Oryctolagus cuniculus: one gene and its partners. The protein of the gene in region 1 purifies or fractionates together with the protein of each later gene. This does not show direct contact. Links are inferred from orthologs where the notes say so. Each region holds a gene or a part of one and is shown on either strand. Other genes may lie near its edges.

Region 1 (4,653 bases):
TACCTTCCCCTTGTCCGCCCGCCTCCCATTTCAGCTTTACCTGTCCGCCGCCCTGGGTTGGGTACAGAACTCGGATCTGAATCTGGGCTTGGAGTTGGACGCAGGGCTGCGAGCCGTTAGTCCACGTGTAGTTCCCAACCGCTTCTCTGGAGCCTGGGCTAGGACTTGGAGGGGGTGGAGGTGGTCCTGGGTGGGGGGTGCTGGTGGAGAATCCAGGGCTGGTCCCGGTGGTGGTGGTGGTGTTGCTGGTCGTGGGATGAACCGTGACATTTCCGTGGCCAGTGGTAGGAGTGGCAGTTGTAGGTCTGTGGCTGGTGGTGCCTGGGGTGGCAGTGCTGTGACTGGTGGTGTGGGGGTTCTTGGTAGTCCTGTGGCTGGTTGTTCCAGAGCTCGCTGTGCTTTCTGTGGCTGTAGGTGTCACCGTGAAGGATGGCAGCAGAGTGGCTGCCTTCTTGTGAGGCCAAGGCCATGTCCCCTGGGCTTTCAGCAGAGGGAACAAAGAAGCTGGTCAGCGACCCAGAAAGGGCTGGCTTCCTCAAGTTCCCCCTCCGTGCCCCCTTCTTACCCCCTTCTTACCTGCGTGTAGCCCCAGCAAGGCCAGGAAAAGCACAGGCAGCCTCATGGCAGATCCACCTCACCTAATGCCGACTCTCAACTGGACACCAGTTGCTCAGCCCTCTTCCCTCTTCCCTCTCTTGGGAAAGGAAATGAAAGTCTCTTACTTCCTGCAACAGATGATCCCACCCCCAGGCTGACTCAAGCACCACGGGCTCCAGCCACCAATCTCTTAGTCACTAGTCATTTGTTAGGGGACTATTGGCCCCAGCTCACGAGTGGGAGGTGTCAAGGCCAAAGTCAAGGCTGTCCCATGACTACAGAATGATGGAGCCGTGAGGCAGTTGATTGGTGGGGCCCGTTTGTCACCCTTAGCAAACCTCACTAGGCAGTTAGGGCCAGTGGTTCTAACCAGCCCCTATAGCCAGCAGGCCCCTCCTCTGGCCAGCCCCTTTCCACACACCATGCTTCATGACTTCCTCCTAGCGAGACATGTGACCACTTATGACAGCACACACCCAAGCCCTCAGTAGCTCCTATTATCCTATTACAACTTTCTGGACCTAGAAAATGGCTTCTTCTGGTAACTTCTAGGTAGTTAAGGTAGCTGACATACCCAGTAGCAGGTAGGAGGGAAGGAAGAAATGAGAAGCCCAACAGGCAGTTTCCAAGTCATTTTATTCAGAATTTCGTGTTTGCTTCCTGAATCAATAAATACTATACAAAACAATGTAAAAATGGCTACCACTTTCTCTCCCCTGCTCCCCCAGCTGGGTTCAATCACTGGGCAACCTCACTAGGGGCTGCTCCTTGCATGTTTGGTCCGGCACATGAGGTTGAGTGACTTGTTTTTGGCCCCTGAATCAAGTTCGGAGGGATTCAGCTGGGGTGGGAGAGCCTCTGGGACCTGGAGGTGACTAGGTTAGGGAAATGGATTAGTGTTTTTTTTTTTGTTTTTTTGGGAGGAGACGGCGCCTGGGGCAAGAGCCTACCCCAAAGAAAAGGGTTTCTAAAATGGTCACGGTTCCTTCTTTTGCCTCAAAAAGTGACATTTATTCAAAGAAAAAAAAAAAGAAAAAAATGACAAGATGTCCATCCCTTGGCTCCCTCCCCTCCCCCCTCCTGCTGCTCCTCAGCCCCTGAGGACTGAACCCCAGCTGGGGCTAGGTGGCAGGACAGCCCCTCTCAGATGAGGTCAGCAACATTGAGGGGCATCTCCTCAATGGAGGTGTTGTAGAAGGTCTCGATGTCTCGGAGAGTCCGCTTATCTTCTTCTGTCACCATGTTAATAGCCACACCCTTACGGCCAAAGCGTCCACCACGGCCAATTCTGAAACACAAGGATACATTGCAAGCATTGAGGGATGTCCAAAGCTTCCGCCCAGGATGCAGGGGGCTAGGCAGGAGGTCCAGACCCACACTCACCTGTGAATATAGTTTTCCCTGTTGGTGGGAAGGTCATAGTTGATGACTAAAGAAACTTGCTGTACATCAATGCCTCTGGCCTATGTGGAGACAGAGAAGAATTCAGTGCACACAGTCCATCCGGAAGGGGCTCAGTGAGTGCATGTAGGCAGCCCAAGGCAGGCAAAGGAAGCAAGCGGCCCCTTGTCTCTGAGAGCCCTTGGGCATGCCGGATTTTCTTCCAAGTTGCTACTTTCCTGAGAGAGGCACTAGTCGGGCCCCTGGGAGAGGGAATCACCTTGGATTCTTCTGCCTTCCAGCGCTGGAAATCCCCCTACTCACCAGCAGGTCAGTGGTAATCAGTACTCGGCTAGAGCCAGAGCGGAACTCCCTCATGATCACATCTCGCTCCTTTTGGTCCATATCTCCGTGCTAGGGGAGAAAACCGAAGGTTAGCGATCGAGACGAGCACAGGGGAGCTGGGCTCACACAGGCTGGCGTGCGAGGATGCTCACCATGGCAGAGACGGTGAAGTCCCGGGCGTGCATCTTCTCAGTGAGCCAATCGACCTTCCTTCGAGTGTTGATGAAGATGACAGCCTGGGTTATGGTCAGGGTTTCGTACAAGTCACATAGTGTGTCCAGCTTCCACTCCTGGAGGTTGGGGCGAATAGTCAGTCAGGGGCTATACTCAACAGGTCCCCACCCGGGCCCGCCTCCTGCACCCAGGCCCCACCTCGCGTTCCACGTTGATGTAGAACTGGCGGATACCCTCCAGCGTCAGCTCCTCCTTCTTGACAAGAATCCGGATGGGGTCCCTCATGAACTTCTTGGTCACCTCGAGCACATCGGAAGGCATTGTAGCTGACAACAAAACCACCTGGTGAAACACAGACCAGCCTCAGGGTAGGCGATGCTGCAGGACGCCCGCCCCGTCCCCAGTCCCACAGAAGGTGCGAGACGCGAGGGCTCTCCCGGCAGCTCCTCCAGCACTGCCTTTCTCACCTGGGTGTTGCTGTTGAGCTTCTGGAAGATGTCATAGATCTGGTCCTTGAATCCACGGCTTAACATTTCATCAGCTTCGTCCAGTACAAACATCTTGATGTACTTGGGAGCTGTAGGCATGGAAGAAATACTACTATGTAGTAGCTTGGGAAACAGGCAATATATCCAACTTTCTTGAAGAACAGGGGAGACAGAGGCAGTCTGCTCTCAGAATACAGAGATTGATCCTTTGCCCAGGGCTGCCCTGGAGGCCAATCAACAGCCCCAGGAAGTAGAACACTCCCTGGGCTTGGGCTGAGAGGACAGGGAAGCCAGGGCTCAGCTGACACGCATGGGGTTCATCACAGAGCAGCTTTCAGGGGAGGGAGAACGAGCGGCCTTGGGAACGAAGCTGGCCGACAAGGAGGGCTTGGCTAAGGTGAGGGGGATACAGGGCAGTGGAAAATTGAGCTACTCACACAGGTATCTCCGGTTAAGCATGTCGAACACGCGGCCAGGGGTGCCCACGATGATGTGCGGAGCTTCCATCTGCAGCTTCTGCACCTCAGCACGCACATTGGTGCCCCCGATGCAGGCGTGACAGGACGCACCCATGTAATCTCCTAATGCCATGACCACCTTTTGTATCTGAACCAGAGAGAGGTGGGTGTGCAGCTGTTAGCTACAACCGTGGCAGGTCCCATCTCACTTTTCCACGGATTTGGTCTTCCCAACAACCATGATACATGTAACTGAACCCTCAGCTTCTGAAAACTGTGGTCTATTTATTTACCCGCTTCATAGCCAGTTTAAAGAGCCACATGACACACACACGGCCAACTACACCCTTGCCCCCAAACACAAGCCACACGACCCGTTCAGTCTTAACAGGCTTACTATCACTTCTTGGTTACAGTATCTGCGCCCGGTTCCCATCAGAATAATCACTTCTACCATCAGGGTTTGTGCCCTAGGCATGAAACAGCTCTGGCCACCAGTACAGGCATCAAGCTAGGATGAACAAAGGACTGCGCATCTGCTCTGCCCCTGACTGATATAAGAGCAGCACCACGAACGAGGTGTCTCTTTGCCCATTGCCAGGGGTGGGGGGTGTGCATAAACAGTCACCCAACTTGCCTAGCCAGTCAGGCCCGGCCCAGCAGTGTTGTCATTTGACTCAGGAAATGGGTGGAGAAGTGGCAGCTGTTACGTTTGGGTAGGAAATGACATATAATTAACCCAGCTAAAAATCACCGCCCCATCCCACCCCACCCCACCCCACCCCACCCCACCCCCCGAGCATCCTCTTCCTCCTTGGAAGTAACCCCCCGGGATTTTAGGCTATGCTCATTATTCCTCCAGGAGAAAGAAGCCACGTTCTCACCTGTTGGGCCAATTCCCGAGTGGGTGCTAGTACCAAGGCCTGGGTGGCCTTCAGATCCAATTCAATCTGCTGGAGAATCGATATGGCGAATGTGGCCGTCTTCCCAGTCCCAGATTGGGCTTGAGCGATCACATCATAACCTAGACAGACAAGAAATGAGATCTGGCGGAGAACTTGCACTTTGGGCTCATGGGACAGTCAAATCCTGACTTACGCCTAACTCAATGAGCTGAGATCAACAAGCAACCAATCATGAATGACGCCTTAAGTGCCTTACAAACCTTCCCCACCACAGTATGGTGACATAACGGGGGCAAATCCAGAGAA
Region 2 (4,821 bases), on another chromosome or scaffold:
CACTCAACTAAGATTTAATCAGAGAAATAATTTTAATTTTCTGAAGTAAGGGCTGGCATTGTGGCATTGTGGGTTTTACTGCCACCTGTGATGCCAGGATCCCAAATGAGTGTCGGCTGGAGTTCTAGGTGCTCCGCTTCCAAGCCAACTCCCTGCTAATGCATCTGGGATAGCAGCAGAAAATGGCCCAAATACCTGGGCCTGTGGCACCCACGTGTGAGACCTGGATGGCTTTCCAGATTCCTACCTTCGACCGGGCCAATGCTTGGCCTTTGTGGCCATCTGGGAAGTAAACCAGTAGAATGGAAAGCTGTCTGTCTGTCTTGCTCTCTCTTTCTCTTTCTGTTAATTGTGCCTTTCAAATAAGTTTTTAAAATCTAAAAAAAAAAAAAAAAATTTAGAATAAGGGTGTTGGCGCTGCGGCATAGTAGGCTAAGTTTCTGCCTGGAATGCCAGAATCCCATATGGGTACAGTTCATAAACTGGCTACTCCTCTTCTGATCCAGCTCTCTGCTGTGGCCTGGGGAAGGACTGGAACATGGCCCAACTGCTTGGGCCCATGCACCCATGTGAGAGACCTGGAAGAAGCTCCTGGCTTCAGATTGGCCCAGCTCCAGGCACTGCAGCCATGGGGGAATGAACCAGTGGATGGAAGACCTTTCTCTCTGTAACTCTGCCTCTCAAATAAATAAATCTTTAAAAAAATTCATGGCCGGCGCCTCGGCTCACTAGGCTAATCCTCCGCCTGTGGCGCCGGCACACCGGGTTCTAGTCCTAGTCGGGGCGCCGGATTCTGTCCTGGTTGCCCCTCTTCCAGGCCAGCTCTCTGCTGTGGCCAGGGAGTGCAGTGGAGGATGGCCCAAGTGCTTGGGCCCTGCACCCCATGGGAGACCAGGAAAAAAAAAGCACCTGGCTCCTGCCATCGGATCAGCGCGGTACGCCGGCCGCAGCGCGCCGGCCGCGGCGGCCATTGGAGGGTGAACCAACGGCAAAGGAAGACCTTTCTCTCTGTCTCTCTCTCTCACTGTACACTCTGCCTGTCAAAAAATAAATAAAAAGAGAAAAAAAAAATTCAGAAGCAGTCATAAATCTTTATGTTTGATTGCCATTATCCTAAAAAGATAAAAAAAAAAAGGAGCCATGCATAAAGAAGGTCCTTTAAGTTTATGATGACTAGGTTTCTGAATTCTGAGAAGACAGTATTAAGAATTATACATTATGCTAGCTTCGACTGGTTCCTAGGTCCAAAGCAACACAATCAACCACTGAGGAACTGATTCATAAGAACAAGGCAAAAAAAAAAAAAGAAAAGAAAAGAAAAGAAAAGAAAAGAAAAGAAAAGAAAAGAAAAGAAAAGAAAAGAAAAGAAAAGAAAAGAAAAGAAGAAGAAGAAGAAGAAGAAGAAGAAGAAGAAGAAAAAACAAAATATGAACCAAACATGTATAGTGACATATACCTTGGAGACATTTGTATATTTGGAAATTCTCATTTGCATTTTTAGACAATGGAGTAACTTTTTTGCAGACTGTACTAAAACACAAACACATCACTGAAGAAATCAGACTAGGAATTTCAGCATTCAATGGATGTTTCTGGAAGTCAAGGAAAGTAGGCCATTAAACAATAACTCAAACAGCACCTCTTCTTCAGTAAGCATAAGAGTATTAATGGCAGAACAGCTTACCTGGGATGGGGCTCTTTCTTGAATTTAAGCTCCGAGAATCCATAATCTCTTCTGTTTGCCCATCTGCTTCTGTTTTGCTTTGAGCCTCTTTTGAATCTTCACTAAGGCAAGTTCTCATGCTTTCTTCCTCTTCTAAGACTCTCTGGACTGTGGGAGGAGCACTGGAAGTTGTGACTGCAGCAGGAAGAAAGACTGGAGTAGGAGGAGGGGAAGCTGGAGGAGTCGGAGGGGCTGGAGAAAAGGAGGGAGCTGTGGACGGGGTGACGGGAGCTGAGATACACTCCACTTTCATTTCTTCTGGAGGATGTTCCAAAATCTCCAATTCAAGAGTCAATGGTAACACTTCTTGCTTCACTATTTCCACAATGTTCTCCGTGGCTAGCAATTTTTCACTAACTCCATTCATTTCGTTAATTAGGTTAGTACTAGAAATTAGTGGCATATCATTAGGTGCTACACTACAGGGTTTCTTGCATACATCATCGTCAGTCTTCTCTGTTGGTGATGGCTCTGACGTATCTGTGCAAGATGTGGGGCTAGGTATAGGGATTGTGTCTTCTTTTGAGGAAGAGAGTTCACATCTGTCATCTACAGCAGTGGTGAATAATGGCTGGCTACTAAGAGCAGCAGAGCTGGGGGAAGCAATTGTACTTCGAGCAACTGGAGAAACAGTGGCAGGTGACGGAGGCAGAGGAAGCTCTGGTATGGTTTCTACTGCAGTAGTCTCAGATGTCTGACCTGTTTGTTCTTTCTTCTCCCCACTAAGGACTAGTCTACGAACTGGGGAAGGAGACTTTAACACTGGATCTGGTTTTGGCTTCTCTTCTGGGAAAGAAAAAAATAAAAGATTTTTAAGAATAATTCTGTATCAGAGACTGTACTGTATTTCCTTGGGTCAATTCTTTTTAACCTCTAACCCTAAATCACAAGTAGCACAATAGAAACCAAAATATTAGACTTAAGTAATACTCCAAAAAATGTTTTTTTTTCCTTAGTTATACTATCACTTGGTCTCCAATACATAGTTTAATTTGAAGCAAGGGAAGCAACCAGTTAACAAAATAATTATGTTAAAAAAAAAAAAAAAAACAACAGAAAAGCTCATCAAAATTGAAGCTCAACCATTCTTGGGTTGAGAGTAGGACTTTTCTGTAAGCGGGGAGACCATATCTACCAATCCTGTTTCCTATGGAAAATTTATCTACCCATAGTGAGATACTACCAAGGATAAATATTAGAAATAAAATTATTATAAAGAAATTGATGCTATGTTTCATTCTATAGATTTCTGCAATTGGGTGAATTTTATAAAACATGTATTAATTGTACAAAAATACTATGTCTTAACAGAAACCAACACAGTGTTATTTCTTAATGATGAAGTTTATTATCACTAAAATCAATTTCCTGAACATAAAGTGCAGTTTAAAAATTTATTTAAGGTTTTTTTTTTTTGGACAGGCAGAGTTAGACAGTGAGAGAGAGAGAGAGAGACAGAACAGAGAGAAAAGTCTTCCTTTTCTGTTGGTCCACCCCCCAAGTGGCCGTTTCCGCCAGCGCACTGTGCCGATCCAAAGCCAGGAGCCAGGTGCTTCCTCCTGGTCTCCCATGTGGGTGCAGGGCCCAAGCACTTGGGCCATCCTCTACTGCACTCCTGGGCCACAGCAGAGAGCTGGATTGGAAGAGGAGCAACTGGGACAGAACCCAGCGCCCCAACGGGGACTAGAACCCAGGGTGCCGGCGCCGCAGGCAGAGGATTAGCCAAGTGAGCTGCGGCGCCGGCCACATTCATTTCTTAAAATAAGCATAATCAGAAATAGTGTTAAGGTATAAAAATGGAAACATATCTTCACATATAAGAGCATTCTTTAAGGAAAAACCAAAGTAAATACTCATATAAACACACTCAGTAAAAGAGAATACAACATATACATGTCTGCAGTACTGAAATTATATATAAAATACCAATCTGTGTATAGACATACAGAGAATGAGATTGAGAGAGAATCTGATGACCATTAGGGTACCAGAAAAATATAAGGAATGGTAGTTAACAAAACCCCACGTTCTAAAATTCCAGATGAGTGGATACATGGTTTATCCCTGAGTGGATGTAACTAAAGGAGATTCTGGCTTCAAGCCTTTGCTTGTTTAGCAAAATAAAAGGCTCCATTAGAAAAACAGACACTCAGAGTATGATTACCAAATGCTGACAAAAATTTTAAGCATTATTAATGACAGTCTAAAGTAAAACATACTTTACTTTCTCCCCTAGATTTGTTATGTGTTGGTGGAATTGAGTCTTTATAATAAATTGTAGCTAAGTCTGTGAAAGAGAAATAGATGACAGATACCACCATTAAGCTGTTTGCTAATTCATTCACTGTAATTACAAGACTTAAAATTCACCTTAATTTTTGGGCATGGAAGCTAGTGCTTCTACAATTTAATTTTGCCTATTTATTCTAGTGGTAAAATCAAAAGGCTCTCTGCCACATTCCTCATGCTAAGCTGCCATGGCAAGAAAAAAAAATACTTCAGAAAAGTATCTTTATTTTATATGTGTTCTATGTGTAACATATAATAAATGTGTATTTAGTAACATATTTCTGATAGAAATAATTTTCAACTCACTGGAGTAACTGTTATGGGCCAACCAGATTATATCGGAGTCCTGTGAAAGCATACTGGAATTACACTCTTAGCACTCACTGAAACCTAAATGCAGTAACTTCAAAAATAAACAAAAAAAACCCCAATAATTATCATATTAACAATCTAGTATGTGTATGTCAATTCAATGATAAATTTGGGGATATGAAATTTCTGAGATTAAAAATTGAAAGAAAAGAAGGTCTAGGGCTGAAAACTTTTACATACTATTGAGAAAAATCTAGCATTAAGAAAATTAGAAACAAAAAAGTTAGTTATTTTGAAAGCTTTCTTACTCTGAAATAAAAATTATTTAACTTACTCATCAAAGCTAAGATACAGGAAGTTGAGAACTACAATACAGTATATTTAAATAGAGAACATTTATTTTATCCCTCTCAACACTTTTATTTACTAGTAAACATTTGGCCAGCTTTAGGAATGTGTAGAGATTCGATTTTAAATAATTTTTCCTAATGAAATAA
Region 3 (4,821 bases), on another chromosome or scaffold:
TTTTTCTAGAATACCTGTGCTAAATTTTAGAGAAATTACCAAACAATAACTATAGGCAATTACAGGGAAAAGTGAAGTAAAATGATTTGGTTATTGGTATTCCTCATCTTTCTTTTCTAAAAGTATTCCCTACAAGGTGGCCATTACTTTCTGAAGGAAATCCTTCCCACTCAAATGCCTCTATCCACATAACCATTAAATACCTAAACCCACTTGTTACTCCACATATTCACCAAGGGCTTTAAATAACTAGTAAGGCTATAACCTCTTACAAATAACTGCATTTCAACAGAAAAGAAAATGTTAACAGATAAGAAAATTTTCAAACCTCAAAATGAAACAGAAACACTAAATTTGAAATGTGGCCAATCCTAAATAGATATCCTACCACGAAAGTCATCACAATTGCTAATTAGTAACTCATCCATTAGCCACACATTATATCTGTTTATCTGATACGCAGAGCATTGTGTGAAACCTGCCTGATGCTATTCCAATCACACTCCTAACTTTCAGACAGTTTGCCAACATCACAGAAATTAAAATTACCATGTCATAACTTATTTTGTAACAAAGGAATTTTCTTTTAAAAACTTGAATATAACTTACATTTATAGAATGCACTGTTTCAAGAGCAAGTCTTACAAATGTTAAGCAAAAATACAACCTACTATACCACAAATCACCCCATGCTCAAGAAAAAAAAATTTTTTTAATCAGTTCTAAGAAAACATGTATTTTCACAATTTCATGTTTCTATACAGAAATATGAATTATAATTATGTTAAAAGTAACATTCTGGCCGGCTCCATGGCTCACTTGGCTAATCCTCTGCCTGCGGCATCGGCACCCAGGTTCTAGTCCCAGTTGGGGCACCAGATTCTGTCCCGGTTGCCCCTCTTCCAGTCCAGCTCTTTGCTGTGGCCCTGGAAGGTAGTGGAGGATGGCCCAAGTGCTTGGGCCCTGCACCCGCATGGGAGACAGGGAGGAAATACCCAGCTCCTGGCTTTGGATCAGTGTAGCGCTGGCCGTAGTGGCCATTAGGGGAGTGAACCAACGGAAGGAAGACCTTTCTCTCTGTCTCTCTGTCTCTCTCTCACTGCCTATAACTCTCTCTCTGTCTCTCTCACTGTCTAACTCTCTAATTGATGGACACAGAAGATAGCTTGTGACAAACTGATGTCTGACATTTTCTGAACAGGAGCTAACTTCATAGAGGGTACCTGTTTAAGAAGCTACCAACTCTTAATTAGCAAAAGCACATTTTGTTGCATTTAAATTTAAATTCCTAATTGCTTTCAAAGTTAGACAGTTATTCTCTAGAATTCATGTTCATAGGGCCAGTGCTGTGGCATAGCAAGTAAAGCCATCACCTACAGTGCCAGCATCCCATATGGGTGCTGGTTCAAGTCCCTGCTGCTCCACTTCCAATCCAGCTCCCACGCTAATGCATCTGGGAAAACAGCAGAAGATGGCCCAGATACTCGGGCCCCTGCACCCACATGGGTGACCAAGAAAAAGCTTCTGGCTCCTGGCTTTGGATCCTCCCAGTTCTGCCCAGCTCTAGCCGTTGCAGCCATTTGGGAGTGAACCACCTATGGAAGATCTCTCTCTTTCTCTGTCTCTCTCTCTGTTACTTCAGGTAAATAAATAAATAAATGTCTTTAAAAAAAAACAGAATTCACGTTTATGACTATTTCCACTAATAAGAGTCATATCTTCTAGGAATCAGTTGTATTTATGCAACAGACCTATTTCTATGCGTTCATTTTTTGCTATAATTACATAATGAAATATTATCTAAACTAATGAAATAGTAGTATAAAAAGAACAAAAGCATTTTCTATAAAACTGCTATAAAAATAGATATGGATTCACCAACTATAAAAGATTGAAATATATTAAAAACAAAGGATTTTGCACCTAGATTTCTTCACAACAGTTTTTAAGCACTTTCTCCTTAAACTAATCAAAATGAAATCACAGGTGATACATTATAAGTACTGTTTATACACAAAGAACAAGGCATTCCAACTGGTAAATCCATTCATATTAAAAATGTTATGATTCTCTGATCTTTTTGCTTAGTCAACTAACCTCTAGCTTATTGCAATTAAAAAGAGACTACACAAATATAAAGATTATTTTTAAAAATGCCAGATAAATACTGAACCTGTATATAGAGTTCCAAGTGTACAATTATTTTTTAAAAATATGTGTATAATATCAAAAAGGCTACATATGAGCTGATGATGATATTGTCACAACCAAGAATTATGAACAATAACAAAAAGAAAAATCACATAGATCATATTTAACCACATGTTAAACACAATTCAGAAATACTGCTTTACAATTTACAAAGAGAAATTTCATATTTACTGGATCCTTGCTAAAAGATTAAGATGAAAGGAAAAGACTTCTGACTCTCCCCAACACATTTCAACCTTTCCCATCGGACATTTACAAAACATAGCATTAAGCTGATACTCAAGATAATTGCTAGAAGAAGAGAACTATTATTAAATAACTATTATTAAATAACCCATATTATTAAAGTTATGCTTCTTTCACAGAAATATACATACTTAGATGCCATTTTCTTGCACTGGTAGTCTGCAAGTAAATAAATATCTCCCCTGGTGGTTACACAGACAGTGGCCCCATCACTTGCAGCAACCAAAGACACACTAATGTCCTTATGATGAAGAGCAGAGACTTGACGAGGAACAGTTACACATTTTTCTCCATTGGGATCTAGCAAATAGCCTAAAAAAAATCATACAAATAAACAAATCATAAAATATCTGTCCAAGAGCCCATTTTTTTTTAAAAAGTCAATAACGATTTCTTACCTAGTTGTCCACCGTTGAGTCCCATAGTGTAAACAGCTTCTCGTGTCCAGAGCACTGTGTGAAACCTGCCCGCTGCTACCCCAATGATTGTCCTTCCTTTCAGATATTTTGCCTGCATCTATTCAAAAAGACAAATAAGACTGCAGATTACCTAATCTAGTACAATGTTTCAAAGATCCAATAAACCAGGATGGTAAATACTTATACAGCATATTTGCTGCTAGCGTCCCTCCAGTGTTAATGGCAATCATTGCTAACAGAGCTTAGCACTCATACTGAGACACAGCCTCTTCTCAAAACACAATGTTCCCATGCACTTTCAGTCGGCAGTTTTAACATATGGAAAACTGACATGGCACAAAAACCAAATTAGTAAACTTTTAGTTACTTATGTTTTTCTACCAAGTAATATACAAAACAGGCATTCTCATTCTTTATTAGAAAATGTGATACTTTCAAATTTGACATACCCAGGTTGTTAAAACAGTGGCACTATTAAAACTTGGGCCAAACAAGTCTTTGTTGTAAGGGATTATGTTGTGTGCCATATGTTTAGTACTATCGCTTAACTCTACTGACCACCTGTTAGTAGCACCACCAACTCCCTCTAGTTGTTAAGAATACAAATTTCTCCAGGCATTGTCAAATGGCTACCAGGGGTCAAAGTTGATCCCAAATCAGAATACCAGGTATTCTTTTATCAACAAGAGCTCCAAGACTGCCACACAATAAGAATATTTTTGCCATTCTTAGTTCTATAAAATGCTTAATGACTAAAAAGAAATTGTAGGGGCTACAGCTGGGGCATGGCAGTTAAAGTTGCCTCCTGTAGCACAGGCATCCTTTGTGGGCTCCAGCTGGAGTGCCAGCTGCTCCATTTCCAATCCAGCTCTCTGCTATGGCCTGGGAAAGCAGTGGAAGATGGCCCAAGTGCTTATGCCCCTGCACCCACGTGGAAGACCCTGAAAAAGCTACTTGCTCCTAATCAGCCAAGCTCCAGCCGGTGTGGCCATTTGGGGAGTGAACCAGTGAATAAAGACCTTTCTCTCTGTTTTTTCTCTCTCTATAATTCTACTTCTCAAATAAATAAATAAAATTTTTAAAAAGAAATTACATTTCTTCTAAAAAGTATCAGGCTGAACACCTCCAATTGTTTTGAACAATTTCTATTGATCCATTAATCAAAACAAATAGAAAGGTTCTGAATTTAAATGTTCATTTAAAAAAGTATATCTAGAAATACTTTTAAATCAGAACATTAAACTTGCAAACAACTGGATAAAGAAAATGTGGTATGTATACACTACAGAATATCACTCAGCAGTAAAAAAAAAAAAAAGGAAATCCTGTCTTTTGCAACAAATAGATGCAACTGGAAACCATTATGCTTAGTGAAATAAGCCAGTCCCTAAAAGACAAATATCCCATGTTTTCCCTGATTTCTGGTAATAATACACACAGCACAAAAAATGCAAACTACATGAACATTTTAAGATTTGATTATTGTTTACAGCCTTTGTCTATACTCTCATGTAAGTGTTTCTACTAAAAAAAAAAAAAGAAATTTAACCTCTGAAACGCAAAAAGTTTAAGGTGAAAACACATTATCAGTGATGACTCTTCGTATTAATTTAGAGCACCAATCTCAGTTCTATGTATTATAGGGCCCTGAATGTTGTAAAGGGCACTTTCTGGTGATGGTTGTGCAGTTCAAAGTCAGAAAGAACTGAGAATGTGGCTTTTAGACCCATGTCCCCTCTCATCAACTACCAAATATGACATTCACACACAGGCAGACTTGCTGAAGCAAAATAGAAGTTGAGTTTCTAGATGCTTCACTTGCACTGGCCCATTTTGTACTGATAAATGAAATTTTTCTTAAAGAGGATTTAAAAACTCTAAGCTTCAAATCCTCCACATCTCTATTATGAATACTTCAACACTGAATCTAGGGTAGTTTGGAGGC

Evidence for each region. Proteins that work in one complex are often made in the same cells at the same time.
Region 2: the proteins of EIF4A1 (region 1) and EIF4G3 purify together in Homo sapiens (co-immunoprecipitation; 6 studies listed by BioGRID and IntAct, counting the BioPlex papers as one, with this or other methods). This does not show direct contact. The link is inferred for Oryctolagus cuniculus from reciprocal best matches to the Homo sapiens genes EIF4A1 and EIF4G3.
Region 3: the proteins of EIF4A1 (region 1) and IBTK purify together in Homo sapiens (co-immunoprecipitation; 4 studies listed by BioGRID and IntAct, counting the BioPlex papers as one, with this or other methods). This does not show direct contact. The link is inferred for Oryctolagus cuniculus from reciprocal best matches to the Homo sapiens genes EIF4A1 and IBTK.

Annotation. Positions count from the first base shown.
Region 1 is NC_091448.1:52,143,432-52,148,084, reverse strand, and holds the end of EIF4A1 (eukaryotic initiation factor 4A-I), read right to left. Parts: intron 4,467-4,653; coding exon 4,327-4,466; intron 4,049-4,326; exon of another isoform or gene 3,904-4,048; intron 3,591-3,903; coding exon 3,422-3,590; intron 3,314-3,421; exon of another isoform or gene 3,167-3,313; intron 3,074-3,166; coding exon 2,964-3,073; intron 2,839-2,963; coding exon 2,695-2,838; intron 2,613-2,694; coding exon 2,475-2,612; intron 2,392-2,474; coding exon 2,302-2,391; intron 2,265-2,301; exon of another isoform or gene 2,121-2,264; intron 2,061-2,120; coding exon 1,981-2,060; intron 1,886-1,980; coding exon 1,741-1,885; 3' UTR 1,215-1,740; downstream 1-1,214. Other genes in the region: CD68 (macrosialin), read right to left, coding at 41-480, 577-622. UniProt on the Homo sapiens protein: ATP-dependent RNA helicase which is a subunit of the eIF4F complex involved in cap recognition and is required for mRNA binding to ribosome.
Region 2 is NC_091438.1:149,845,029-149,849,849, reverse strand, and holds part of EIF4G3 (eukaryotic translation initiation factor 4 gamma 3), read right to left. Parts: intron 2,510-4,821; coding exon 1,685-2,509; intron 1-1,684. UniProt on the Homo sapiens protein: Component of the protein complex eIF4F, which is involved in the recognition of the mRNA cap, ATP-dependent unwinding of 5'-terminal secondary structure and recruitment of mRNA to the ribosome. Functional homolog of EIF4G1.
Region 3 is NC_091436.1:90,251,803-90,256,623, reverse strand, and holds part of IBTK (inhibitor of Bruton tyrosine kinase), read right to left. Parts: intron 2,974-4,821; coding exon 2,856-2,973; intron 2,770-2,855; coding exon 2,589-2,769; intron 1-2,588. UniProt on the Homo sapiens protein: Acts as an inhibitor of BTK tyrosine kinase activity, thereby playing a role in B-cell development. Down-regulates BTK kinase activity, leading to interference with BTK-mediated calcium mobilization and NF-kappa-B-driven transcription.